4 separate regions of the Mus musculus genome follow, and regions 1, 2 and 3 are each reported to be linked to region 4. The links are microRNA targets in miRTarBase. Many come from high-throughput screens and were not tested one by one. Region 4 holds a microRNA gene; each other region holds the end of a gene's coding sequence. Distances are between the middles of the regions.

Evidence for each region. Region 4 holds the annotated microRNA mmu-miR-466n-5p (GUGUGUGCGUACAUGUACAUGU, at 3,491-3,512, opposite strand). A microRNA usually pairs through its seed, bases 2 to 8, with sites in the 3' UTR of a target mRNA and lowers its output. Matches are read on the target gene's strand: a 7mer-m8 pairs with bases 2 to 8, a 7mer-A1 pairs with bases 2 to 7 and ends in A, and an 8mer does both.
Region 1: miRTarBase lists Epas1 as a target of mmu-miR-466n-5p. Seed matches in the 3' UTR shown: 7mer-m8 at 3,612-3,618, 7mer-m8 at 3,742-3,748, 7mer-m8 at 3,804-3,810, 7mer-A1 at 4,960-4,966 and 7mer-m8 at 5,103-5,109.
Region 2: the mRNA of Trp53i11 is a reported target of mmu-miR-466n-5p. Seed matches in the 3' UTR shown: 7mer-m8 at 3,493-3,499.
Region 3: the mRNA of Csf2ra is a reported target of mmu-miR-466n-5p. Seed matches in the 3' UTR shown: 7mer-m8 at 5,901-5,907.

What each region holds. Positions count from the first base shown.
Region 1 is chr17:86,828,018-86,835,466 of GRCm38, forward strand. It overlaps Epas1 (endothelial PAS domain protein 1), which reads left to right. Exons shown (of 16, transcript NM_010137.3): 13 at 673-799; 14 at 969-1,083; 15 at 1,293-1,466; 16 at 2,934-5,393. The coding sequence ends at 3,085. Among named protein-coding and RNA genes, the nearest start is that of Epas1, 78 kb to the left of the region's middle.
Region 2 is chr2:93,196,373-93,203,821 of GRCm38, reverse strand. Trp53i11 (transformation related protein 53 inducible protein 11) reads right to left here. Exons shown (of 8, transcript NM_001025246.2): 2 at 6,844-6,925; 3 at 6,074-6,210; 4 at 5,501-5,559; 5 at 5,235-5,283; 6 at 4,831-4,927; 7 at 4,364-4,465; 8 at 2,065-4,036. The coding sequence starts at 6,202. The coding sequence ends at 3,903. Tspan18 (tetraspanin 18) reads left to right here. Exons shown (of 10, transcript NM_183180.2): 10 at 1-2,062. Among named protein-coding and RNA genes, the nearest start is that of Trp53i11, 13 kb to the right of the region's middle.
Region 3 is chr19:61,218,638-61,225,514 of GRCm38, forward strand. Csf2ra (colony stimulating factor 2 receptor, alpha, low-affinity (granulocyte-macrophage)) reads right to left here. Exons shown (of 12, transcript NM_009970.2): 10 at 6,687-6,783; 11 at 6,496-6,577; 12 at 5,765-6,396. The coding sequence ends at 6,367. Among named protein-coding and RNA genes, the nearest start is that of Csf2ra, 6.3 kb to the right of the region's middle.
Region 4 is chr2:10,509,822-10,517,270 of GRCm38, reverse strand. It overlaps Mir466n (microRNA 466n), which reads right to left and starts at 3,530; the gene lies at 3,437-3,530. All of the region lies in intron 10 of Sfmbt2 (Scm-like with four mbt domains 2), which reads right to left. Mir466d (microRNA 466d) reads right to left here and starts at 5,304; the gene lies at 5,209-5,304. It overlaps Mir669m-1 (microRNA 669m-1), which reads right to left and starts at 4,481; the gene lies at 4,384-4,481. It also overlaps Mir669m-2, Mir669o, Mir466g, Mir466h, Mir669a-2 and Mir297b, and 3 more genes.

The DNA.
Region 1 (7,449 bases), not on the chromosome of region 4:
TGGAGGGGACATACTGGGCAGGGCGAGTACATGTACACACCTGCTTATGAAGGCTCTAGAGGGTCACATCAGCTTCCCGCTGACCATATCCCCTCACTGTATGTGTAGGCAGCTGGCACTTTTCCTAGTCCTCCTCTGATATGTGAGAGCCAGACCCCAGCAGATAGAAGAAGGGGCTTTTTTAAGTGATGTCTGTCTACCTTTGGACACAGATAGGTATTATGGTATTTCCTCCATAGTCCTGTACTTTCCATCTGCCTGGAGCCTCTGTGGGGTGCACACAGGCACCAGCATTTTCCTGTCTTCCCAGTAGGCTGCAGTCCCATAAGCTGATGTGTCTTGTCTATAGTACGTACCCTTTATAGAGCACCCCAGATGGTCCTCTGGAAGGAAGGCATTCAGCAGAAATCCTTCTAGAGACTGTTGTCATCTAGCTGGGCAGGACCCCTGAGGGCAGGACTGAGGTGGACAGGTGTGCGGAGAGAGGCGCAGGTGACAGAACTCTTGAGCATCTTACAGAAGGAAGAGCTGAGCTGCCGCCGCTCAAGCCCTTTAGCATTCTGCCCTCCATAGATCGCCTGAGTCATAAGTGTTAGATTCTGATGAAGACACCAGGCAGCGGGAGGCTGTAGATGCCTCACACCCACCACTGTCTTCTCTTGGCATTGGCAGGTCTGCAAAGGACTTCGGGGCCCGAGGTCCATACATGATGAGCCCAGCCATGATCGCCCTGTCCAACAAGCTGAAGCTAAAGCGGCAGCTGGAGTATGAGGAGCAAGCCTTCCAAGACACAAGCGGGGTAAGCCATGTCTGTGAACGAACAGCCTACTGGACAGGAAGGAGATGAGGCTAGGGTAGAGATGCAGACAGCTAGATCTGGTAGTGAGCACCTGCCCCTGCTGGGTCTGTGTGCTACCCACCCTACTCCACCCTGGCCCACTTCCTCCAACTACACATCACCTCTGCAGGGGGACCCTCCAGGCACCAGCAGTTCACACTTGATGTGGAAACGTATGAAGAGCCTCATGGGCGGGACCTGTCCTTTGATGCCTGACAAGACCATCAGTGCGAACATGGCCCCCGGTAAGCAGGCCTGGCCCAGGGGTCTGGTGGAGGGTTGAAGGCTCAGAGCACATTCCCTGAGCCTTGTTAGAATGGGTTATATCCATGCCATGAGCAGGATCCCGGTTCAGAGGTCTCTACATGACTTCTGAAAAAGAAAGCAGGCTGAGAGCGCTATTGTCTGCCCTAATGACAGCACCACAGTTCACTCTCTGGCTTGGATCCTCCAGATGAATTCACCCAAAAATCTATGAGAGGCCTGGGCCAGCCACTGAGACACCTGCCACCTCCCCAGCCACCATCTACCAGGAGCTCAGGGGAGAACGCCAAGACTGGGTTCCCGCCACAGTGCTATGCCTCCCAGTTCCAGGACTACGGTCCTCCAGGAGCTCAAAAGGTGTCAGGTGAGTGCTTTGGAACTCCCACCATAGCCAGGGTCTGATGCAAACAGGTGGCCTGGCTGGCCAGAGAGCTGAGAGGCAGCCACTTGCAGGAAGCAACTCTGCGTTTGGACAAGACTGCCTTCAGAGCCCCTGCTCAGGTCTGATGCGACTGCTTACAGTCCATAGGGCTCTTCATCAGCCAAGCTGCATGAGATGGTTTAGGCAGGACCAAGTCTCCTCTTTATTCCAGAGCCTGCATGGTACCAGGCCCAGAAAGGATTTGACAATGACTTGTTCAAAGTACAAGGAAGGCCCAGGAGGGTGCAGGCTCCTCATTGATGAGCTGAGATTGTGTGAGAAAGTAAGAAAGGCCTCTTTGGCTGTTGTCCCTGAGAAAGGGCAGAGCCACGGTTACTTCTGGCCAAGCAGGCTCCCCAGAAGGTGGGTCTCAGGCTGGGGAAGCTTTGGTAGAAGGAAGCGGCTGGTATGGCAAGGGCCCCAGGGCTGTGGTGGACTTCTGAGCAAGACAAGCTCGCTGCCCTGGAAAGGCAGGCTGGAAGATTGTGCACGGCTCTGGAAGGGATCGTCCAGTAATCAGTCAGATCACATCCGGGCTCTTGGCCCCGCAAGACCAAGAGTCTACATCTTTCCTCAGCTGCTCATTGCCTGAAGTGTATACACATACCGTAACAAGCTTTCTCTGAAAGGTTGCACAGGGGACTCACTGATGGGAGGGTAGCCTGGTGATCCAGTAAGTTCAGCTATTGCCACTGAAACACACAAGTGTTCCCATAGACGCCTTTGCTCGGCACAAACAATCTGTGGTTTGAGAAAGAAAATTCCAGAGCCTTGTCTACAGTAGCAGAGTTGGGGAAAATTTATAGTTGTGTTCTTAGAATTCCATCTGAAGAACCCAAAAGCCCTGGGCTGATATTTCAGTTCTGTTGTTTACCAGCAGGTGGGCTTGCAAGCCAGAAGTCTTAAAAGAGAAAGTTTAAAGTTTAAAGAGAGGACCACACATCACTCACCCCCGGTATACACATCTGGGCAGCTGTAGTCAGCAAATGACAGGTTTCCCCAGCTGTTGAATGCGAAGCAAAACTAATTTCAACATAGATCGTTTCTGCCCATAGACCGAAAGGAGGTGAATTTAAGAAGGGCAGGGCATCTGTTGGTAGGAGTGCAGGCAACGGGAAGTGTGGACCCCAGAAGGGAGAGCACACTGGGACCCAGCTCTGTCTCTAAACTGAGAGAGCTCTGCTCTCGCTCCAGCCATCTTTGGATCTCACCACTGCTGTGGCATGTCCTCTTCTGGCTCCGTCCTCTGAACAGGGGATGGAGCCCCAGGGCCAGAGTGCTGCTGCATCGGAAGTTGCTGGAAGCTGGAGACACAGTTGTTTGCATGCATGCCCTTTCCTCTGGTCATCTACAGCCAGCGGAGCAGGTGTGTGCCAGTCCTCTAAAACACCCTCCTCTCCCTCCTCTCAGGCGTGGCCAGTCGACTGCTGGGGCCATCGTTCGAGCCTTACCTGTTGCCGGAACTGACCAGATATGACTGTGAGGTGAACGTGCCCGTGCCTGGAAGCTCCACACTCCTGCAGGGGAGAGACCTTCTCAGAGCTCTGGACCAGGCCACCTGAGCCAGGGCCTCTGGCCGGGCATGCCCCTGCCTGCCCCGCCGTCTTGACCTGCCAGCTTCACTTCCATCTGTGTTGCTATTAGGTATCTCTAACACCAGCACACTTCTTACGAGATGTACTCAACCTGGCCTACTGGCCAGGTCACCAAGCAGTGGCCTTTATCTGACATGCTCACTTTATTATCCATGTTTTAAAAATACATAGTTGTTGTACCTGCTATGTTTTACCGTTGATGAAAGTGTTCTGAAATTTTATAAGATTTCCCCCTCCCTCCCTCCCTTGAATTACTTCTAATTTATATTCCCCAAAGGTTTTTCTCTCTCTCATTCATATCCATACTAACAAGCATGGTGGCTGGTGCCTCTCCCTAGGAAAGCTTTGGCGTCATTCAACTCAAGTGTTCTTGTTCTTGTTGCCAAAGAGAAAAGGATTTTCCTCCACTGTGGATTCTCCCTCTCCCCCACCCCCACATACACACACACACACACACACCCCTACACACATATACACACATGCACGTATGCGTGCACACACACACACACACACACACACACACACACACACCCCTACACACACACACACACACACACATATACACACACACACACACACACACACACACCCCTACACACATATACACACATGCACGTATGCGTGCACACACACACACACACACACACACACCCCTACACACATATACACACATGCACGTATGCGTGCACACACACACACACACACACACATCTAATCACCATATTGTAAAATTTTGTGTTTTTAAAGCCAACTCTTTGCTCCGGTTTTTTCATACGACTTAGTATGGGGCAAAAAAGCAATGTGAAGAATCAACTCTAGGGTTACCTGTGAAGCCACGCGGTGGTGTTCGAAGCTGTCTGGTAATGCCCCCATCTCTCCCCGGGTCCAGTGGATTTTTTTAACTATTATTCAAAAGCAAAACTGAGTTTTGTTTTGTTTGGTTTTTTAAGAAGAATTTATATCCGGGTTTAGTGTTTATCATATATATGGGTACTCTGTAATATCTAAAAGCTTAGAAATGGGATCTTGCTCACAAGAATCACTTTTAAGATCTTTTAGGGCTGTTAATTTTATTTTTCTCAGTGTTCTGGACACTGTAGACCTGTGCAGTACTCCCACAGGCCTGACTAACCGCCACAGATCTCTCTTTCTTTCTCTCTGGTGACTTTTTGCTTTTGTGATATGGCAGCGGTGTGACAGTCCCAGGAGAGAAGTCATTAAGGGGGAACATTGCAAGCTATCTTTTCGTGTTCTCAGTGTATTATGTACGTGTGTGCTGTTGCCGCTATGAGGGCTCGGGGCTTGCAGGCTCTGAGGGCATGTCGCAGGCGAGCTGGAAGGAAGCGCTCTCACTTTTTTTCAGGCAATGTTGCTAGCCCTTCTAGCACACTGAGCTACGAGACTGCCAATCTCTCTCCTGCGGCACGTTTGGGTTGGCACAGCTACCATGAAATGTTTTTAATGGGAATTCATAAAGCAAGTTAGGATTCACAAATGTAGTGACCTAGTCCTTGGAGCTAAACTGGGAGTGGGTGCCAGGTGGAGGGTAGCAGGTCTGACCAGCCCTACACCCTGCCACAGATCACAGCTTGCCGGGCAAATGACCCTGCGAAGCCACGGTGCAGCGCCCCCTGCTGGCGAGCAGCGGGCAGACCTCCAAGGACAGCCTCTAGCTGAGGTCTCAGTCACATGAAGTGTGACACTGAACAGGTAGAAAGCACTGAAAATCGTGTTCCAAGAGCACTTTGTAACTCACTGAGGGGGAGGGGAAGCACCTTTTGGGTTTGCGATACCAATCAACATAAGGTGTTGTTGACTCGGGTACAATAAAACTCTCAACACACACAAAGCCCATCAGGCAAGAGTACAGTAAGCCTAAGGGGACTTGCTGCTCAAACCAAAAATTAACTCTGAAGGTCAGTCTACCTGACATTACCTAGGCATGGTGTTGTCCAAGCTGCGCATCGGTGCACAGTGTGGCCTGGCACACACGCAGGCGGGCGACGGAACTTGAAGGGTTATTGACATGCAAATGCTGGTGTTTGATTTCCTGTGTTGTTGCCTCAGCGTTAAGGGCATTTCCGTTTGCAGTTCTACTAAAGACACTCTGAGAAATATTCCGAGTTTCGTATTAACCTTTCCTGTCCATGTAACAACTTCATGACCATTACTGCATTGTCAAATTCCTACTGACGACATTATAACTGTACGGGAGCTTAACTTTATAAGGAAATGTATTTTGACACTGATATCTTATTAAAGTATTCTGATCCTATCCTGCTCGTGCCTCTTGTTTTCTGTGCATTTACCGTGGACTGTGCCGTTGGAAAAATAGGGTTCTTACTCAAGAGCACACAGAAATGGACTTTGGAGCTAAACTAGACCAGCCTGAGACCACCCCACAGGAAGTCCAATGAAGGAAGGCGTTTGTGCCTGACAGTTGCCTGAGCCCAGGAGCTGGTCGCTATCTTCTGCATTTCTGTAGCTACTATGTGTCTAGCCAAGGCCCTTTCCTTGCATGCTGGGAAAGAAGGGAAGAAACCATGGGCTCTCACTTCAGAGACCCACACGAGGCACTGAGGTCCAAGGAGAAGGGCACCCTGGGCCAAGGGCATCACTGTAGAGTCAAGGCCTTCCTAGGTAGTATAGTAGGTAGGAAAGAAAAAGTCTTCAGGCAGAGACCGAGCACAGCAGAAGCTTACTGCTAGGCATGGACCTGATGGGTCCCTATTCCAGATGTGGCTTCTGTGAAAGCCACTCTTCTGGTGATCAAGGGGGAGGGATAAGGCCAGCAGCATCTCTTACAGTCAGCCCTACATATAATCAGCTGTCCCAGTATCCCTTGTGCTCCTGATGTCTTGGGTTCACAATGATCTCCTTAGCTCCATCGGCCTAAGCAATGCCATGCGTATAATTTCGTAGATGAGACTAGGACCCACAGTGACTTACTTCCACATGTCACACAGTCACAAGGCTCAAGACCCAGAGCTGGCTGTGAGCTATGGCTTATGCTAGGGCCTGTTTACATTTTCAAATAGAAAACTCCTGTCTGAGCACGGAGCCGCCGGCTCGGCGAGTAAGAGCACTTGCCCTGGTACAAGACCAGGGTTTCATTTCTAACGCCCACATGACGGCTCACAACTATCTATAACCCAGTCCCAGCAGCTCTGATGTCTACTTTTGGTGCCTTCATGGGCACCAGGTAGGCACATTGTACACATATATGCACGTGAGCAAAACATACCACATAAAATAACAAATCTAAAAAGAACACTCCAGTCAGTCTTAGTTTAACTCTAGGCATTGTGGGGATTTTGCTTCTATTCTTTTCCTCCTGACTTGATCTCTGGATCTTGAGTTGGAGTTTCTGGGCCCGGCCAAACTCCCCCTCACCTTCATCCACCATCTTGGGCTCTCCTCTTCCTCGGCTCCCCTGGGAATGGCAGACTTCTCCTGGAGGAGCACTCTCCTTGTCCCCAGTGACTTCAGAGGGGCCTATAATGCTGTTCTTTGGCTTTAACCCCATACCTAAAGCTCTGGTTGACCCTCCAGGCCCTGGTGGAGTGGGCACAGTATTCAATGCCTCTGACTTCAAAGTTCAGCAAGCAAGCAAAGGGGAAAAATAAGATGCCACTGTTCCTGATGGGTTGGTAGGAATTTGCTCTTCTTTGGGGTATGTGAGCCTAAGACGCAGTGCCCACGTCAGCCACTGCTGCTTCACATATTGTATCAAGGTGTTCAGGAAAGACTGGCTTGTCTCCTCCCGATTTTACGTTGTGGTTTAGGAGCAGGTATGTTCCGGCATGTGGCGCACACAGCAGCAGGATCAGGTCCCTGCGTGAAAGTGAGAGCCGTTGAGCCTCTTGAGCTCCTCCTGGCTGTAGGAGTCTCCTCTCAGTGGGGCTATCTCAGCCTCAGTGTTAACACAGTAGCCTCCAAATCAGAACACTTTCTGGGAGGGGAACTCAGACCCCAAGGTTGGAGCACCAGGGGCTCCTCCTCACCCCATGGAGCTTGGCCAACCCCATCCCCTCAAAGCAGGACAGATTGGTCAAATGCTGAGCTGTGGTTTACCTGAAGATATGATGCAGACCCGTATCCTCTATGACATCTAAGCTTCAACCACCTCCTGCCTTTTTTCCCTTTGCCTGCTCCTCCTCTGCTTTTGTGAAAAAGAATGTATAAAAGAATGTATACGCTATAATGGAGTGGTCAGATTAACCTGTTCTTTTTTCTCCTGAAGCGGGGATATTCCCAGGTCAGCAAAGTCAACTCTGGAGATACTGAGAGAGAGTTGAACCCTACTCCACTCTAAGTTTTCAACTTCTAGA
Region 2 (7,449 bases), 83 Mb from region 4:
ATCTCCAGGCTGCTGTCGCTCCAGCCAGGACTCCACCCCGATGTAAACTGGCCAGGAACTGCCTGCATCCAGCTCTACAGTCCGTACTGTGTCCACTCTGCCCTGCTTGTACCTCTGTCAGAGATCCAACTGTGATACATCACCTGTCCCCGTGGGCCATGCCCCACCCCTGTTCTCCCAGGTGGAAGACACCCCAGTATTGTTCATTTCTCTCTTTCTACCCAGAGCTGAGGCTTGAATGTGTTCTTCAAGGTCCCTGCCAAGAATTCACCCCTGCATCCCTCCACATACGGATGGATCTCACTACCTCCCAACTCAGCCTCCTGCCTTCAGATGCTCTGATGTCACCATCACCTCCGCAGACAGAAGGGGTTTCCATTTTTCCGTCTGTGTACCCCTTCACTCTCTCTCCTTTCTAGAGGTTAAGGTCATGCCTCTTGTCTGCAGACTTAACCCCACAGCATCTCCTACCGTGACACCTTCTGACCTTTTGCTGAACATTTATTTTGTTAGTCTCTCTAGGCTCAGATTACCCAGACTAATAGGTTCACAACCAACCAACCAACCAACAGACACACACACACACACACACACACACACACACACACACACAAACACCCCAGACTAATAGGTTCACAACCAACCAACCAACCAACAGACACACACACACACACACACACACACACACACAAACAAACACCCCAGACTAATAGGTTCACAACCAACCAACCAACCAACACCCCCCCACACACACACACACACACACACAAACTTGAACTGCAGGCTAGGTTAGCAACTAGTTGCAAGATGCCTGACCCTGCCAGGACCGTGTTGAATCCATTAGTGTTGTCTGTCAGGATCTCAAATTTGATTAATTATGTCTGCCAAGGGCACAAAAGGGGAACAGTGGTGGAAGGAACAGCTAGGTGTCTGCTCTCCTCTCTCAGATGGAAGAGCCTGACCTGAACTCCAGCCTTCCTTTGCCCTTCTGCCACCTGGGAGTCATAGCCATAGCCTGTTCTATTCTGCTGTCTGGGTGCAAGGGGGGCTACTTCTCCCATTTTCTCTCCTCTTTATGTGGTCCTCACCCAGCCTGGCCTTCCGGGGAGTGGGTGTCTCTGAATGCTATACGGAAGTTGTCTTTATGACAGCTTAATTGGCATCCCCATAGTAAGCTCCCTAGAGGCTGAGTCACCAGATCAGGGGGCCCCTCTGCTGGCTTGCACCCCCAGACTAAGAGGACCCAGGCTGACTCAGAACCCAGCACGTACTGGACTCCAACTGTCTAGGAAGGCAAATGGCTTGGCTATTGATTGGAAGTTCATGGCTAGGTTGAGGACTTAGCCCAACCACAGCGGCTGCCACCCAGAACTAGCCCAGGCTTCCAGAGATGGGCAGGGCTGGGACAGGGAGGGACTGAGAAGCCAGATATGGAGCCTAGGCAATTCCAGGGCAGATCAGAGTCCCTCACCAGAACTTTCCACACTTACGCTGAAGCGCTCCCAAGTAGCCCTGATTCAACCCAGCTTCTCAGCATCCTCATGGGGCCAGACAGACACAGTCTTCACCCTCTGAGCTTGCTGGTAGCCATTGCAAGGCTGTCTGAGGTCATCCTGGTGGGGCTTGGTGAGCTGCTCTGTGTACTCCCAGAGGAATGGAGGGGAGCTCTTCCTTCACCCCAAGATGCCTCAGCCAGTAGTGAGCAGAACAGCCACTTCCTGTCCCAGAGCAGTGGCCTAAGGGACAGCTGTATCTGACAGGCGAGGAGCTAAGACTGGACCTGTGGCTCATGCTCCCCATTATCCTGTCCCAAGCCCCTGGCCTACCTGGGTTCTGAACCCAGCACCTTCATCCCCAGGAACTCTGATACACACACACACACACACACACACACACACACACACACACACACACACACGTCATATGCTAAAGTCTATTTTGGAATTTGTAAATGTCCCTTGCAGTAGGAAACAGAGCTAATTTATCATTGTATCTCCCAAGTCTCCCCTTTTTATATTCTATATTAAGAGAAATTTTGTAATATAAAACAGGACACCACGCAGATTGTTTCTCATTGGTTGTTTTTTGTTGTTGTTGTTGTTTTCTTGTGACTGTTTCTTACAAAAAGAAAAAGGGACCAAGAATAAATAGTGACCATGACAGAGGCAGTCTTGGGGGCCAGGCAGAAGCATGACAAGAGGAGCTGGGGATGGGGTGGGGGAGAGCAGTCAGGGCACTCTGAGCCCAGACTCAGAGTGGGGCTCTATCTCCATCACTGCCTCCTTCCAAGCAGGTGTCTCCCGGAGGCCACATATGCCTTGACCCCACCCACCTAAATGTATCACTGCAGTTTAACCAGGGTGACCTGGGCTCCTGCTGCTGAGGGGAAGCCTGGCGGATGTCCCTGCAGGCTGCGCAGGGCTGGCGTCTTCCATTTCTACGACTACCTCCCTTGGGACTGTATCTGTATTTGTGGAGGATTCAAGATGATAAATCTTCAACACCTCTGAGAATGGTGTCAACAAATGTCACCTGGTCTACGGTAGTTGGGACTGTACTAAGAGCTGGCAGTGGCAGGGTCCATGGTCCGAGTAAAGAGGTGGGACTGAGGGACTGGCACCAAGCCAGTGACAAGAGGCAGGTATACACAATGGGCCCTTCCTGAACACGCAGGGAATCGCTACTCTGCCAGACCTTGGTTACAGAAGCAGCCCCGGCCACTGCTGGGCACATCCTCCACTGAGTTCCCTCCACTAGGCAAAGGCCATGGTCACAGAGCACTTGGCAGCAGGAACAACCGAGCCCAGGGAGGCTGTGAGCCCAGGTGCCCTAGAGAAAGATTCCTCGGGTATAGGGGACCACCCCCTTGCAGAAGGGAGAAGCCTCGGGCCAAATCTCTTAGTGTGCTTGCTGCTGAAGGGTAGGGAGGTGCTGGGAGCTAGGGCCAAGGGGAGGGGCCACACAGGCTGGTGGCACCAGGGGTGTGTCTTCAGCTCTAGAGGCCCACTTAGGGGCTGCTAAGGGATGGCAGACTCTTGAATCTCCTTCCGTTGTTGCATGTGAGCAGCTATTGGCTTTAACCCGTAGGCCTTGGGGCAGCCTCAGGAGGGGATCTGGAGGAGGCACTGAGCCAGGTGTGTAGCCATGCAGGCCTTGGAGGCCATGCCGAGGAAATGTCCCCACTTGTCCTCTCCTCAGAATTCCTCATGCACTAGGAGCCTATGGGCAGCTAGGAGCCAGGGACTATCAGGCCTGTGGTACATTGCCTAACCCTAGCCTGTCGGGAAGGGACTCTGGTGCTCTGGGACGCAGGCGGCCAGCCAGAGAATCAGAGTACCCTCCAGCAGGCCAAAGAGAGAGATGTGCAGGCTGAGGCTGGGGAACTTGGCCCAAGGGAGGCAGTCACTCCCCTTGCTAGATGTCCTCAACTGGATCTCTAGAAACACCGTGTGTGTGTGTGTGTGTGTGTGTGTGTGTGTGTGTGTGTGTGTGTGTGTGCGTGTGTGATGAGGGACTCACACATCGGGTTTCTGGATGGGGAGAAGCTGAGAGCCCCTGCTGGGGCCGACACAACCTCCTAGAAAGGGCTTCCTGGCAGAGGAACTCACCTTGACTCAGCCCAGACCCTAAAACTTACTCTAGACTCTGCCTGTTAGAGTCTAGAGGCCAAGAAACACAGGGCAAGGAGTTGTCCCTGCACAAGGGTGAGGGGTGGGGTGCAGAGGCCACAGCCTGGTCTGTCACTCCTAGAATCCCAGGAGACCCAAGATGACTCCGTGGAGTGCCTGGGAGGGAAGGAAGGCGTGTGCACCCTGCCTGCCTGCAGGCCTGTCTAGGACCCATGGACAGTGAAGTCCCCAGCTGCTCGGGCCCAGGTCCAGGCCCAGGCAGGTCCCAGCCTGCTACACTTTTTTGGGTTTCCGGCCGACTTGGTAATAGTAGTAGATGCTGACAATAACAAAGAGGAGGCGGCTGGCCAGGAGCAGCACGGTCCCCAGGGACATGAGGCCCGTCTCAGCAAGCGTGGCAGTGACCACTGTGAAGGAAGTCGGGGGAGGCAAAGGTCAGGAGCAGACACGTGCTTGAGCCTCTCCCATCATGACGCTAGGCTAGGCTGAATACCCTCGACCATCCCTGTGGTGAGTGGGACTGCAGGCTGACGACCTCCAGAAGCCTAACACCAGCCTAGGCCAGTCTGCTGCCCCCAAGTGGCAGGTGCCTAGAAGTGCATCCTGAGTGTCAGGCTTGGAGGGAACGGCTGGGCTGTGGATTCAGGACACTGGTCTATGTTGTAGGAGCACCCAGTGCTCTGCCCTTCTCTTCCTGCACCCTGATAGCCTTCCCACCACCCTACACCACTCACCCAGGGACTGCACCCCGAAGTAGCAGGCCTCAGTGAGCAGAGTCCAGCGGATGATGACCTTCTCGGCTGTGTAGAGTGCGTTCCACATGATCAAGGAGATGCCTGTTGGAATCAAGCACCGGGGCAGCCTGATCCCTAGCCCAGGAGTCCGAACCCACTTATTCCACAACACCCACTTCTCAGACCAGACGGCCCCTCTTCCGGTCCTCAGCTCTTCAGCTATAGCTTTCCCCCCAGAGACAGCTCACATTGCTTCTAAAGCCCTATCCAACCCAAGCCAGGTGCTCATCTCCCCAGGACTTGGTATCTTTATCTACACAATGGGGCAAGGGCCTCCAGGCCCAAGCTACCTCTGCCATTGCCAGGGCAGTGAACCAACTACATGCATTCTAGCAATGGCCACAAGGTGGCAGCACAGACACAGATGAAGAGGGCTACCAGGCTGCTGGAGACCCAGCAATACTCACTAAGGAGGGCACCACCGTAGAGGCGGATGGGGGTCTTGCTTGTGACTTCAGCCCCATCAAAAACTGCATCGTAGAGCTGATCAGGGAGGGCAAGGGCCTGTGGGCAGCAGGAGGAGCACAGGGTCAGCTATGAGGTGAGACAAATGCTAGGGACCTCCTTGGGGCAGCATCCAATGCTGGGATGCCCAGAGCCCAGAGCCCAGAGCATGTGTGCTGGTTACTTTGGGGGCACGGCACACCAGTAATGGACAGGATGTCCCGGGAGTTGGCCTAGACCCTGAAGTATGGGCCTCAGAGTGAAGACAGCAGCAGCTGGGGTAAGGGAAAGAGCCACACACACACCCCCACCCCCATCTAAGTCTCAGGACCTACTTGCAGCCTGGGCGGGGACACACAGTACTCACCATGATGGCCACACTGGAGAACAGCATAGCAGAAAGAAACTGCCAGACCCTGGGGAGGTTCCGAGAAGACAGTTACAGCCACACTCACCCTGACCCCCACTGCCAACCCAAACGGGGGGTGGGGGGGAACCCTGTGCAACCCAAACAGCCAGGGCTATTTGAGGAGGCAATGAACAGTGTGGATGTAATTCAGAGCAAGGCCCAGTCACGTAGGACCTTACACATACCCGGGACACAAAACCATCCAAACGAGACCTACTGCTCACCTGAGCCCCAGAGGCTCCCGCACAGCAAACTTTATCTCGTTGCCCAAAACCTGGCTGATCTGTGGACACACAAGTCAGAGGCATCAGGGAAGAAGTCTTCAGTTTCAGCATCTCACCCACCCACCTTCCTCCCAGCTCCTGTGGACACCTGGGGGCCATCAGAACATCCCTGATTAACATAAATGTTTTCCCCAATGCAAGCTCAACCTCTCCTGCCTCCCTTGGTACCCAGACAAGAGAACTGAAAAGAGGTGGTAAGGAAAGAAACTCAGGGTCTGCCCAGCAGGGGCTGGAAGCCTGGTTCTGTGGGTCACTGATATAACCTTAAGGAAGTTACTTAGCCCCTCTATGTGAGTCTTAGCTTCCTCACCTGTACAATGGGTCAATAACCACATGGATAACCAGCAGAGCTAGCAGGATGCACTCATGTCTATAGGACAGTCTATGCCAGTACCCTAAGAAGCACTGGGTTCTTGTCCCCAAACTTCTGCCACTGGGCATAGCATTCCCCTGACACGAGCAGAGGGCCCTGGAAGTTGCAGGCTCATGACTCCTCTTCCTAGCATGGCTCACCTTGGACCGGTGCACTTCGCCGTCATCATCCTCCCCGCCCACACCCAGGATCTTTCTGGTCTTCAAGCGGCTCACAAGATCCGTCTGGCTGTGCTTCTTCATGAGCGGAGGGGGCTGTTTGCCTGCCATTTTTTCTTCTGCTGAGGGACATGGGGAGACACTGGCCTCAGCCATCGTTCCTGCTGGACTTCCAGACCCCAGGTCCCAGTGTAGGGTGAGAAGAATGTGGCCAGGCCCCACCCGGGGCCTAAGAGAAGATGGTGCTGCGGCTGCCTCAGTTTCCTCTCCTGTAAAATGGGTTGAGGAGGATGCTTCCAGGCTGGCCCCCATGGACATGACACAGCCCAGGTGACTGGGTCAGACAAGGCCTTACAGTCAGCCCTGGAGTGGCAATATGGGTTTTAGAAAAGGCATTTGGACCAGGATGGATCTCATTGACAAGATTTCTGGGTTATCGAGACAAAGGAGACTTCAGAGACTCAGAGTGAGCCTCCTAAGTCCTAAGCCACCTGCCCAGACAATTCCCACTGCCTGCTGGTCCTTCTACCTCCTAAACAGCCATCACTGCCCAGAACCTAGAGGAGGAGAGTGTTAGTCATGAGGGAAGGTGACATTAAGCCCAGAAAATGAGGCTTTCCATAGTAGTGGCCACACTGCCTGGACGTGAACCACTCCTGGCCATTAGCATCCACAGCCTCTACCCCAGCCTCCATCTGCCCACCATCTTCCACAGCCCCGAGTCATGCCACCCCATACCACAGGGCACGTACTGAGATGGGCAATGAGCTAGATGCTGAGATGCACACTGGAGTCTGAGATGAGGGGCCCTCTCTTGTGCTCAGTCCTCACAACCTAGGAAAGAACACAGGGCGCGGAGGGGAACCAAGTGAGGCTCTGGCTGACCCCAGGCAGCTCCAGTCTCTGCATCTCAAGGATGCCCTGAAGGATGGGAGCAAATGTAGACCATTCCACAGAGCTCCACCAGGATGTACATAGTCCCACTGAACACAAGAACAGCATCCCAGCCCTGCATCCCCACCAACCTGCTCACCCGGCCAGTGCCCAGGGTCCTGGTACCCCAGCATCTCGCGTTCACTCCAGCAAACTCATTCCAAGGCACAGCTTAGAAGTTCCTCCTTCCACCTGCTGCCCAGCGCCATGTCCCTGATGTCTTGCAGCCCCAGGAAATGTCCCCAGATAGCCCAGGTTCCTTCTCAAACGCCCAGAGTCTTAGAATGAAATAGAGCATCCCAACAAACACACCAGCAGAGGGGCACAGCCGGTGTGGATGCCAGGGGGAGGGGAGGTACATAGAAGAGGTCCTGAGGTTTTGTTCCAAATGACAACACCACAAACCCAGTCACCACTGGGGCTGA
Region 3 (6,877 bases), not on the chromosome of region 4:
ATTAGAATACGTTTTCAGTTTTTATAGCTGACCTGATGACACTTAGAGATTTTTTAAAAATTTCTTTATTATATGTAAATACACTGTTGCTGTCTTCAGACACTCCAGAAGAGGGTGCCAGATCTTGTTATGGATGGTTGTGAGCCACCATGTGGTTGCTGGGACTTGAACTCAGGACCTTTTGAAAAGCAGTCAGTGCTCTTAACCCCTGAGCCATCTCTCCAGTGTGACACTTAGAGATTTTAATATTTTATATAATACTTGTGCATTTGTGTATTAAACAAGTACAAATTCAAGTCACAGAACAATCTCTCAGCTTCATGTTTTTCTTACTAAGTTTTTTCTGTTCGAATAAAAAACCATGACTAAAACCAACTTGGGAACTAAAAGCTTATTTCACCTTAAAGTTGCAGTCCAAAGCTAGGCAGTGGTGGTGCAGAGGGAGGCGGATTTCTGAGTTCCAGGCCAGCCTGGTCTACAGAGTGATTTTCCAGGACAGCCAAAGCTACACATTGAAACCCTGTCTCAAAAAATGAAACAAAACAAAACAAAACAAAAAAATGTTGCAGTCCAGCTTTAAGAGAAATTAAGGCAGAAACACAAAAGTACATGCAAACATATCACATACACACACACACACACACACACACACGAAAGGAAGTCATAAGACATATGGAACACCATCGAATACACAAACTTATTAGCATAGATGAAAGAGACACCAATTCAATGGCATGGATATCTTCAGCATGCTTATAGATGAAAACTCCCCACACTAGAAAGGCACCTCTATGCACATCAACCCCCTCCCCCCAACACAGAACAACAAATAGATAAGACAAGGAAGGAAAATCCTTTGAGCATTAATAAAACACTAAGTATATATAACAAAGAATGTATCTTGAAAGCTGTAAGAGAAGACTAACAACTGATTTTTCAGTGAAAACTCTGAAATCCCCCAGAGGTTGTAGCAATGCATAAAAGTCTTAAAGACTATAACAGCAAACCTAAAATAATATACCCAGCAAAACTATGATGATTTGAGGAGAATGGAGATTTTCTACAACATAAACAGCCTAAACAAATTATATTCAATAAACTAAAACTTAAGAGACATATAGGAAACAGTATGTTTCCCTGAAGAGATAATTCAGCATTGCAGAGAGAGTCATATTATAAAAAGTCTTAATTATTCAAGAATAAAATATACTAAGAAGAAAACACCAAAAATCAGCAACAGGATTACCACTACTTACACACACGTATAAATAATTTTAAATATCAGCGTCTTCAATTCTCCAGTCAAAGAGCAGACTGAATGAAAGGATCAAGAAAGAATGGGACAGGGAAGTAGAGCACATAGACCTACGTATGTAAACAAATAGATATATAGATAGATATACATACATACATTTTATACAGACAGACATATATACATATATACACATTTATTGGATAGAGCAGAGTCCCAACAGTCACCCTTCATTTTTAGACTCAGCCTTTTTATAGCTTCTTAGACAAAAAATAAAATCATGTCACAGATAGAATGTTACACAAAAGGGAGTAACAGAAGGATGTTAGTAAGTTCAAGACAATATTTCATTCTCTAAGCTCGTATGTTCAAAGGAACAGTTTCATATGGCCTTATTTTTTAAAGATTTGATGTAAGTACACTCTAAGTGCCTTCAGACACACCAGAAGATCCCATTACAGATGGTTGTGAGCCACCATGTATCTGTTGGGAATTGAACGCAGGACCTCTAGAAGAGCAGTAGGTGCTCTTAACTGCTGAGAAACCTCTCCAGGCCCCATATGGCCTTATTTTATACTAGTGCACACCTGACCTGAAATGATTGTTTTTTCCATGATCATTAATTTGTTCCAATCCTATTTCTCTTCTTAGTACAACTTATAAAAGCTCATTCTATTTCTTATTATGCAGCCTTTACTTACTATTCTATGAGGAGGGGACACATTCTATTCTTGATTCTAACTTTATTATATCTTTCTGGAAAAAAAAACAATTAAAACCATCTCATTAAACATTCTTCCTAAAAATATTTGAACCAAGGCAGGAATTCTGTAAAGTCATTGATTCATCTAAATTGTGTTGTTTTAATGAAAGTTCCTCTTAATGTTGATCTGCAGAAAATTTGTCTGATAGGATAGGTTGATGCTCAGGAATCATTAGGATATGTAAGAGTAACATGAAAGGCATATCAATAGGAAGAAGCAATTCTTGGATGAAGTGTCTGGGATCTATGCCTTTCAGAACTCCCCCATAATAGGTCATTCAAAAAGGTGGACCACCTTTAGAAAACTTGCTTGCCATATCCTTTTCTACATTGCTTATGCCACTGGACATTCAATCCTTTGCTTCTAGGAAGAACTTGGACATCTAGGGTGCTGTGCTCAGCCTTGACACTCATATTATATGGGGACTGGGCTCATAACAGAGCATTTCCTTAGTATGCATTCTCTAGGTTCCAATCCCCAGCAACAAACACACAGAAAAGACTCAGAGTAAGGGAGCATAGTACCCAGTAAGTGGGAATCCTGATTTAATCCCGTATCCTAGAGAATGGGACTCAAGAACATAAATGTCTTGAGGGAAAGAGGTAGGGTGAGACCAACAGGATGGATAGTGCCTGTGCTACAGAGAAATCCCATGATAGAGAAATAGAATGTAAAACAAGAGGCAAACAGGTGAGAGGCTGGTGAGATGAGGCCTTGTAGCACTGTGGGATTTGCTTAAATCCAACATAACTCAAATATGAGGTCTAGGCAGCTAACAAAAAATGATTGTAATCAAGCTGCTACTGATAGATCAAGGCAGCAGAACAGACTTGGAAACTGAAGTATGACCCTGAAGGGATGTTCTGCAACATATTTAAAGGATAAAACCATAGAGCAAGGGGGAAGGAGGCTGGACACTATCCAATCATATTTTGACATAAGAGATTGAGCAAGGAGTTTCCATCAGTTAGGAGTTAGTCTCTGGGCATGGGAACATATACTTTTTTGACCATGCCAGCAAGAAGGAGAAGTTGTACCTGAGATATGTGAATTCAAGCAACTGTTTGTTTACAATAGAAGCTGTCTAACTATTGGGAAGTACCCAGCTCCACTCTGGCCTGGGATCTTGACTTTATTATTAAATGGAGTCTGACAATGATATAGTAGCACTTAGAATAATGTTTTTGTTTTGTTTTGTTTTGTTTTGTTTTGCTTGTTCTCAGCAGCAGCAATATTGGTCCAGGAAAATTCTGGGGCACCTAGTGAACATGTCTAGAGATCTGGGCAGCTGCCACTGTTCTGCTGACAAGAGTCTTTTCAGATGAGCTGGCTGTAGGGGAAATGCTACAAACTCACAATCCAATGGAGTCTTTAGAACAAGGACCTGGGCCCCAGAAAGTCCATGAAAGCACACACTCTATGCTCTGTTGTTATTGTATTACACAGTTCTCACCCTGGTGCCTGGGATTCAGTTCTCACCAGGTTCAGAACTGAGTCAGTGTAGTGGCAATCTATGTCTGGATAAAATAGGAAAGGTAACTGTATTCCTAATGTTTAAGAGTGACACCTTCTCTGGGAAGTGGTGGCACACACCTTTAATCCCAGCACTTGGGAGGCAGAGGCAGGCAGATTTCTGAGTTCAAAGCCAGACTGGTCTACAAAGTGAGTTCCAGGACAGCCAGGGCTATACAGAGAAACCCTACCTCAAAACAACAACAACAACAACAACAAAGAGTGACACCTTCATGATATCAGGGATTTTAAAGTATGGCTTCCCATGAGAACATACACCCCTCAAATGAACATTTGCACTTAGCCTTGTACAAAAGACTATGGTTTGGGTCTAGGGTCTAGATTGTATTCATTTTCTCTGCCAGTTAAATAACTAAAACAGGAGAAATCCACAGCATTACAGGCAGCAGTGTTATGGGGATGTCCATGAGAGAGGACTCCTAGGACATGGGTTTAAACCAATAGAATATCTCTATTAGCCAGCAGGCAGTAGTGCTTGGTGTTAGGGATCCCAGGGTTGCACCAAACCTTTCTCAGGGTGAGTTTTTTTAAAAAGATTTATTTATTAATTTTATTTATGTGAATACACTGTAGCTGTCTTCAGACACACCAGAAGAGGGCATCAGATCTTATTACAGATGGTTGTGAGCCACCATGTGGTTGCTGGGAATTGAACTCAGGAAGTCTGGAAGAGCAGTCAGTGCTCTTAACCGCTGAGCCATCTCTCTAGCCCTCAGGGTGAGTTTTAAATACCAAAGCCATATTCTAGGTTGACATACTTCAAATGGTAAGAACAGTTAGCCAGAAGCAGAAGTACAATAGCCAAAAATCCTGGTTAGTACTGAAAGATCCTGACAGAATATAAAAGGTCACAGAAACCCTGAAATTGGCAAGATAGATTTCATTGCTAGCAGAACTAGCTTCACTGACTTAGAAAAATAGAGGTGCACAATGCTCTGGCCACTCCTTGAACCCGTGTGTCTGCCAATGTTTTTGACCGTTCCTTGAACCCATGTGTGTGCCCACTGATGAAGCCCATTGCCAGGTGTTTGTGATATTGGCTGCTGGGAAAGAGTCAGAGAATCTCCCCAGCAACCACAGCCAGGTCAATCCGGAGTTGCTACACCTGCACCAGACTCTTTCCTTGTACCCCTCCCATACCCATTTCTTGAGAATAGACATTGTTTAGATCTGGAAATCCCCTACAACCCCCTACTCCTTTCCCCCCTGAGGGCCTATAAAAACTGGGACCTCTTTCCCCTTGAGGTTGACTCCTCTACCCCTGCGTGGGATATGAGTCGTCCCCAGAGCTCTGGCTTTCCCCAAATAAAGCCTCATGTGGTTTGCATCAAGCTTGGTCTCTCGTGAGTTCTTGGGTGTCCGATATTGTCCCAAGGACTGAGCGAGGGGCTCCTCTCGGAGTCTTTCAGTATATTTAGGGACCTTCTCAGAACTATGGACTTTGATGGATTTTGCTTTTGTTTTATTTATGGTAAATGGTACTGTCTATGTGCTCAGTTTTTTGGTTTTTTTTTTTTTTTTTTGATTCAGTTAAGTTCTGTTCCACTAGTAGCTGGAAAAGAAGGGGGAGAAACAGAAGTGACCTGGAACAATACGTCTCAGGACAGCCAGCCACCTCCATCTTGATGAGGGAGATTAGTCAGAGGACAAGATGGCTGCCATCCACATGTCTGTCGCCTTTCATCTTTGTGAGGTCAATGTGCAACCGAGTGACAGAACAAGGAAGTAGACATGCAGACAACAGACATGCAGGTGCACTACCTCCCTTCTGTTTTTGGATAAGAGACACACAATTTTTATTATTTACAGTAAGCCTTAAACAGCACTCTGACAGCTGGGCAGATATCTACCTTCTATGTAATTAGAATTTCCTTTTTTCTTTTCTTTTATTTTTTTTAATTCTCAGGACCTGCATGGTAGCTTCTCCTAGGTTCTGGTGCCCTCTTCTGGCATGCAGTCATATAAGGCAGCAGATAGAGCACGCACACACACACACACATTTACATTGAAAACTAATAGTAATAATAAATAAGTAATAATAAGAAAAAAAGATCCTAGCTTCGGCCGGGCTGTGTGGGTGGCAGAGGCAGGCAGGCAGGCAGAGAGGACCTCTGTGAGTTTGAGGCTACCCAGGCCTACACTGAAAGTTCCAGGCAGGGATGCCGGGGCTACACCAAGAGAAACCCTATCTGGGGCAAAAGAAAACAAAAGCAGAAAATGTTCTGGCTTTTATTTTACAGACATATGATTCTTCTAGTACTACTGACTATCGAACTTTGATCATGAAGGCACGTTGGATTTTATGACAGTTTGTGTCTGTGTGTGTGTGTGTGTGTGTGTGTGTGTGTGTGTGTGTGCTGGCTGTTAAGGTAAAATATTAAGGGTTAGGGTTTGTTAAGAACTGAGCAAACTATTACGGTGGGGATATGCACGCTGTCCCTGCCATCCCTGGAACTGAGGCAGGAGGATGGCCACGAGTACTGATTTTTTTGGGATGGGCGGCCTTGATTGACAGTGGCAGGCTTCCCAGTCACCTGTGCTTCCTGTCGGGGTGGGCGGGGCTATAGAGGAGGATTTGGTTGGACTGTGATATCACGGTGACATCAATGTCGTTAAACATGCCCTTCCAGGGTGATTGACAGGATGAGACTGGACACGCCCACTTTGGTGATTGATGAACAGGGCAACAGGGGTCCAGTCACACCAGACGTGGGGGTGGGGAGCGGTCACGATGACGTCTATCAGCATCGCTTCATGACATCAGTTGATGTCATGAAGTTTAAGTCCTTCCTGTCAGTCACGTTGGGGGCGGGACGTCTAGGGCTGCAGGAGGTCCTTCCTGAGGGTCTGGGGGGGGGGGGTGGACGGGGGTCAGAGGTCACGCCTTGGGTTACAGGGGACAAGCCTCGCGCCCCACCCCCACCACGAGCGCTTGTGACTTTTGACCTCAGGGTTCACTCGCACGTCGTCGGACACCTTGTCCCTGATCCCTGGGATGGGCGGGAAGAGTCGGCGCGTCACCTCGAACCTGAGGGAGAGGGCAGGGCAGGGCAGGGCAGAGTTCACAGTGGCCATCCCCCTGCCTCACTCTCTCCATCCCGGCCATCCCCCTGCCTCAGCCCCCGCCGTCGCCCCACCTCCTGCACGTCACTCCGAGCGCCAGCGCGCACAGTAGGACTGCGCAGGCTGTCACTGCATACAGGAGCGCACCGGGCACTCGCGTGTCCTCAGCCTCTGTGGGGTGGGAGGGAGAGGTCAGGGGACCGGAAGTAGCGCGTTCGCAGTGGACGCGGAGGGCGGGTCTCCCGGGGAGTGGGCGGGGCCTCCA
Region 4 (7,449 bases):
CTCTGGAAGGATTATTCACCCGGTGAGTGAGATCACGCACTGGCCCAGTCATACAGAACCTCTAAGACTAAGTCACATATCATTCAAATGGATCCATGAGTGGCGATTTTGCGTGTATTTGTGTGCATGCTTGTATGGGTATGTGTGTATGTATATGTATACTCATATACACACATGCACATGCACACATACATATACACACAGGCACATACACTGGGGGGGGGGGGCGCCATCACATGAATCTGAAGCTGATCCCTACCTAATCATGAATTTGAGAATGAATTTCCACTCCTGATCCTCCTGACTCTGGCAAGCATTTTCACCTTGTGAGTGAGAGCACCCACTGATCCAGCCCTGCATAATCTCTCAAACTCTAAGTCACATACCTTTAAGGCCTGACTCTGGCAAGCACTTTGACCTGTTGAGTAAGAGCATGCACGGGCACAGTACTGCATAATCTTTAAAACTCTTAGTCACATATTATGCAAGTAGATGAATGCAAGTCACCATGTGTTTGTGTGTGTGTTGCATGTGTGTGTGTGTCTGCACATGCATATCCATATACATTCATGAACATGCACACACATGTAAGCACACGTGCACATACATGGGTGGCATCAAATGAATACCAGGATGATCTCTAAATGGAGTTTGAACTCCTGATCCTCCTGACTTTGTCAATCATTTACACCTGGTGATTGAGACCATTCACTGTCCCTCTACTGCATAATCTCTAAAACTCTAAGTCATATATCATTCAAATGGATCGATGAGTACCATTCCTATGTTTGTGTGTTTCTGTGCTTGCATTTATACATGTGTGGATGTTATATATATTCATATACACACATGCACACACAACTATACACACGTTCACATGCATGGGGGGAATCACATAAATCACAGGCTGATCTCTAAGTCCTCATGAGTGTAAGCATGCATTTAAGCTCCTGATAGACCTGACTCTGGCAGTTGTCTACACCTGATGAGTGAGAACACTCACTGTCCCCGTACTGCATAATCTCTCACCTCTAAGTCACATGTTATTCAAATGGATCTAAGAGTGCCATTAATGTGTGCGTGTGCATGCATGAATATGTGTGCATGTATTTATATGTATATCAATATATATATACATGTACATGTACACACAAACACACATGCACATACATAGGGGTCATCACATGAATGCCAGGTTGATCTCTACCTCATCATGCAGTGAACATGAATTTGCACTCCTGATCATCCTGGCTCTGGCAAGGGGCGTCACCTGGTGAGTGAGACCTCTCTGTGGCCCAGTCATACAGAATCTCTAAGACTCACATATCATTGAAATGGATCGATGAGTGTCAATTTTCTGTGTGTTTGTGTGCATGTTTGTATGGGTATGTGTGTATGTATATGTATATTCATATACACACATGCACATGCACACATACATATACACACAGGCACATACACTGGGGGCATCACTAGAATCCGAAGCTGATCCTGGACTCATGAATTTGAGAATGAATTTCCACTCCTGATCCTCCTGACTCTGGCAAGCATTTTCACCTTGTGAGTGAGAGCACCCACTGATCCAGCCCTGCATAATCTCTAAAACTTTAAGTCACATGTCATTTAAAAGTATCAATGAGTGCCATTCGGGGTATGTGTGTGTGTGTGTGTGTGTGTGTGTGTATGTGTGTGTGTGTGTGTGTGTGTGTGTGTGTGTGCCTGTGTGTATGTGTTTGTGTGTATTTATATGTATATTCATATGCACACATACATTAGCACACAAAACTATGCAACATGAACATACACTGGGAAGGAACCCATAAAGCCAGGCTGATCTCTAAGCCATTTTGAAGTTATTCATAAATTTGAACTCCTAATCCTTCTGAATATGGGAAGCTTTTTCACATTGTGAGTAAAAAGTTTCATTAGCCCAATACTACATAATCTTTAAAGCTCTATGTCACACATCATTCAAATGTATCAATGAATGCCATTCCATGTTTGTGTGCTTGCATTTACATGTATGTTTATGGTATGTATATTTATATACACACATGTGCATACACAGGGACGTAAACACACATGCACATACACGGGTGGCATCACATGAATACCAGGATGATGTCCAGCTGAAGTTAAGCATGAATTTGAACTCCCGACCCTGCTCAATCTGTAATATGTTTGCACATGGCGAGTGAGACCGTTCACTGTCCCACTACTGCATAATCTCTAAAAGAATAAGTCACATAGCATTCAAATTAATGGATGAATTCAATTCCTCTGTGTGTGAGAGTGTATGTGCTTGCATTTGTGTGTGTGTGTGCGTGCGTATGATATATATATTCACATACACACAAGCACATGCACACACAAATATACACACATGGACATACATGGCTGAGAATCACATGAATCACAGGCTGATCTTAAAATCATCATGAAGTTAAGCATGAATTTGAACTCCTAAAACTCCTGATTCCAGCATACATTTTGACCTGGAGAGTGAGATCACGCACTGTCCCAGAACTGCATAATCTCTAAAACTCTAAGTGACATATCATTCAAATGGATCGATGAGTGTCATTTGTGTGTGTGTGTGTGTGCCGCATGTGTGTGCATGTGTCTGTATATGCAAAATCATATACATACATCCACATGCACACACACGAAAACACACATCGACATAAATGGGTGGCATCACATGAATGATCTATAACTGAAGTTAAGCATGAATTTGAAATCCTGATTAACCTGACTCTGTCAATCATTTACACCTGGTGAGTGAAACCATTCACTGTCCCCTATTGCATAATCTCTAAAACTCTTAAGTCAGTTATCATTCAAATGGATTGATGAGTGTCATTCTTGTGTCTGTGTGTGTGTGCTTGTGTTTATACGTGTGTGTGTATGTTATGTATATTCAAATACACACATAAACATGCACACACAACTATACACACATGCACATGCATGGAGGAATCACAGGCTGATCTCTCATGAGGATAAGTATGAATTTGAACTCGGGATACTCTTAACTCTAGCAAGGATTTTCACCTAGAGAATGAGAGCACTCACTGGCCAAGTACTGCATAATCTCTAATATGCTAAGTGACATATCATTCAAATGGATCAATGAGTGGCATTCGTGTGTGTGTGTGTGCTGCATGTGTCTGTACATGTATACTCATATATATACATTCACATGCACACACCTGTAAACACACATGCACATACACGGGTGGCATCACATGAATACCAGGATGATGTCCAGCTGAAGTTAAGCATGAATTTGAACTCCTGATCTTCTTGAATCTGCAAATTGTTTACACATGATGAGTGCGACCATTCATTACCCACTACTACATAATCTATAAGACTGTAAATCACATATCCTCTGTGTGTGTGTGTGTGTGTGTGCACGCACGCGCATGCAAGCGCACATGCACGTGTGTCTATGTATGCTCTCATGTATATGCATATTCATATACACACATGTACATGTACGCACACACAAACACACATGCACATACACAGGAGCCATCACATGAATGCCAGGCTGATCTCCAACTCATCATGCAACCAACATGAATTTACACTCTTGATCATCCTGAATCTGGCAAGGGTCTTTACCTTGTGAGTGAGAGCATTCATTGGCCCAGCACGGCATACTCTCTAAAACTCACATGTCACATGTCACATGTCACTCAAAATGATCTATGGGTGCCATTTCTGTGTGTGTGTATATCTGTGCATGCTTGTATATGTTTGTGTGGATGTATATGTATATTCATATACACACATGCACATGCACACAAAACTATACACACATGCAAATATATTGTGGGGAACCCCATAAAATCAGGCTGATCTCTACTCTCTTTTGAATTTATTTATGAATATGAATTCCTGACCCCTCTGAATATGGCAAGCTTTTACATAGTGAGAAAAACTTTCATTTGACCAGTACTACATAACCTTTAAAGCTCAAAATCACATATCATTCAAACATATCAATGAATTCCATTCCTTGTGTGTATGTGTGCATACGTGTGTCCATATACATGTATGTTTATGTTATATATATATATATATATATATATATATATATATATATATGTATATATATATATATATATATATATTCATTTACACAGATGTACACGCACACACATGTAAACACACATGCACATACATGGGTGGCATCACAGGAATACCAGGATAATCTCTAACTGAAGTTAATCATGAATTTGAAATCCTGATTCTCCAGACTTTGTCAATCATTTACAGCTGGTGACTGAGACCATTCACTGTCCCACTACTGCAGTCTCTAAAACTCTAAGTCACCTATCATTCAAATGGATCGATGAGTGCCATTCCTGTGTGTGTATCTGTGCTTGCTTGTATATGTTTGTGTGGATGTATATGTCTATTCATATACACACATGCACATGCACACAAAACTATACACACATGCACATACATTGGGGAGGATCCCATGAAGCCAGGCTGATCTGTACACCATTTTGAAGTTACTCATGAATTTGAACTCCTGATCCATCTGAATATGAAAAACATTTTACTGGTAAGTAAGAAGTTTCATTGGCCAAGTACTACATAATTGCTAAAGCTCTAAGTCACATATCTTTCAAACATATAAATGAATGCAATTTTTTCTCTGTGTGTGTGTGTGTGTGCTTGCATATACACATGTGTTTATGTTATGTATATTCATGTCAACACATGCACATGCACATACAAGTAAACACACATGCACATACATGGGTGGCATCACATGAATACCAGGATGATCTCTAACTGAATTAAGCATGAATTTGAAATCTTTATCCTCCTGACTTTGTCAATCTTTTACACCTGGTGGGTGAGACCATTCAATGTCCCCTATTGCATAATCTCTAAAACTCTACATGACTTATCATTCAAAGGGATTGGCGAATGCCATTCCTGTATCTGTGTATGTGTGCTTGCGTTTATACGTGTGTGTGTATGTTATGTATATTCAAATATAGACATGAACATGCACACACAACTATACACACATGCACATACATGGAGGAATCACATAAATCACAGGCTGATCTCTAAATTCTCATGAGGATAAGTATGAATTTGAACTCCTGATACTCTTAACTCTAGTAAGCATTTTCACTCTAAGTCACTTATCATTCAAATGGATTGATGAGTGCCATCCCTGTGTGTGTGTGTGCGTGCGTATCTATGTGTGCGTGTATGTATATGTATATTCATATACACACATGTACATGTACGCACACACAAACACACATGCACATACACAGGGGCCATCACATGAATGACAGGCTGATCTCTACCTCATCACGCAGTTAACATGAATTTGCACTCCTGATCACCCTGACTCTGGCAAGGGGCGTCACATGGTGAGTGTGACCTCTCCCTGGCCCAGTCATACAGAATCTCTAAGACTCTAAGACACATATCATTCAATAGAACAATGAGTATCCATTTTCTGTGTGTTTGTATGCATGTTTGTATGGGTATGTGTGTATGTATATGTATATTCATATACACATGTTCATGCACACATACATATACACACAAGCAAATAGATTGGGGGCATCACATGAATCCGAAGTTGATCCCAGACTCATCATGAAGTTGAGAATGAATTTTGACTGCTCATCCTCCTGACTCTGGCAAGCATTTTTACCTTTTGACTAAGAGCACTCACTGGCCCAGCACAGCATAATTTCTAAAACTCTAAGTCACCTGTCATTCAAAATGATTGATGGGTGTGTGTGTGTGTGTCTGTGTATCTGTGCTACTTCTATATGTTTGTATGGATGTATATGTATATGCATATGCACACATGCACATGCACATAAACTATACACACATAAACATACATTGGGGGGAACCCCGTGAAGTCAGGCTGATCTCTATGTCATTTTGAAATTACTCATGAATTTGGACCCCTGATCCATCTGAATATAACAAACATTTTTACTGGTAAGTAAGACGTTTCATTGGCCCAGTAATACATACTCTTAAAGCTCTAAGTCATATATCATTCAAACGTAACGACGAATGCAATTTCTTCTGTGTGTGTGTGCCTGCATATACACGTGTGTTTATGTTATGTATATTCATATCAACACATGCACATGCACATACAAGTAAGCACACATGCACATACATGGGTAGCATCACAGAAATACCAGGATGATCTCCAACTGAAATTAAGCATGGATTTGAACTCCTGATCCTCCTGACTCTGTGGTTTACACCTGGTGATTGAGACCATTCACTGTCCCACTACTGCATAATCTCTAAAACTCTAAGTCACCTATCATTCAGATGGATCGATGAGTGTCATTCCTGTGTCTCTGTGTGTGTGTGTGCTTGTGTTTATATGTATGTGCATGTTATGTCTATTCATATACACACATGCACATGTACACAAAACTATACACCCATGCACATACATGGGTGGCAATCACATGAATCACAGGCAGATATCTATATCCTCCTGAAGATAAGCATGAATTTGAACTCCTGATACTCCTGATTCTAGCAAGCATTTTTACCTAGAAAATGACAGCACTCACTGGCCCAGTACTGAATAATTTCTAATATTCTAGGTGGCATATCATATAAATGGATCTATGAATGTTATTCGTGTGTGTGTGTGTGTGTGTGTGTGTGTGTGTGTGTGTGTGTGTGTGCACGCTAGGGTTTATATGTCTATGTATATGTTATGTATATCCATATAGACACATGAACATACACACACAACTATACAAACCTGCATGTACACTTAAGGCATCACATGAATCACAGGCTTATCTCTAAATCATGCTGAAGATAAGCATAAATTTGAACTTCTGATACTCCTAACTATAGTAAGCATTTTCACCTAGAGAATGAGAGCACTCACTTGCCCCATACTGAATAATCTCTACTACTCTGAGTGGCATATCATTTAAATGGGTCAATGAATGCCATTCCTGTGTCTGTGTGTGTGCTTGCGTTTATACGTGTGTGTGTATGTTATGTATATTCAAATATAGACATGAACATGCACACACAACTATACACACATGCACATACATGGAGGAATCTCAGGCTGATCTCTCATGAGGATAAGCATGAATTTAAACTCCTGATACTCTTAACTCTAGCAAGCATTTTCACCTAGAGAATAAGAGCACTCACTGGCCAAGTACTGCATAATCTCTAATATGCTAAGTGACATATCATTCAAAGGGATCGATGAAAGCCATTCTTGTGTCTCTATGTGTGTGTGCTTGCGTTTATACGTGTATGTTATGTATATGCAAATACATGCATGAACATGCACACACAACTATATACACATGCACAATCATGGGGCCATCACATGAATCACAGGCTGATCTCTAAATCCTCATGAAGGTCAGTATGTGTTTTAACTCC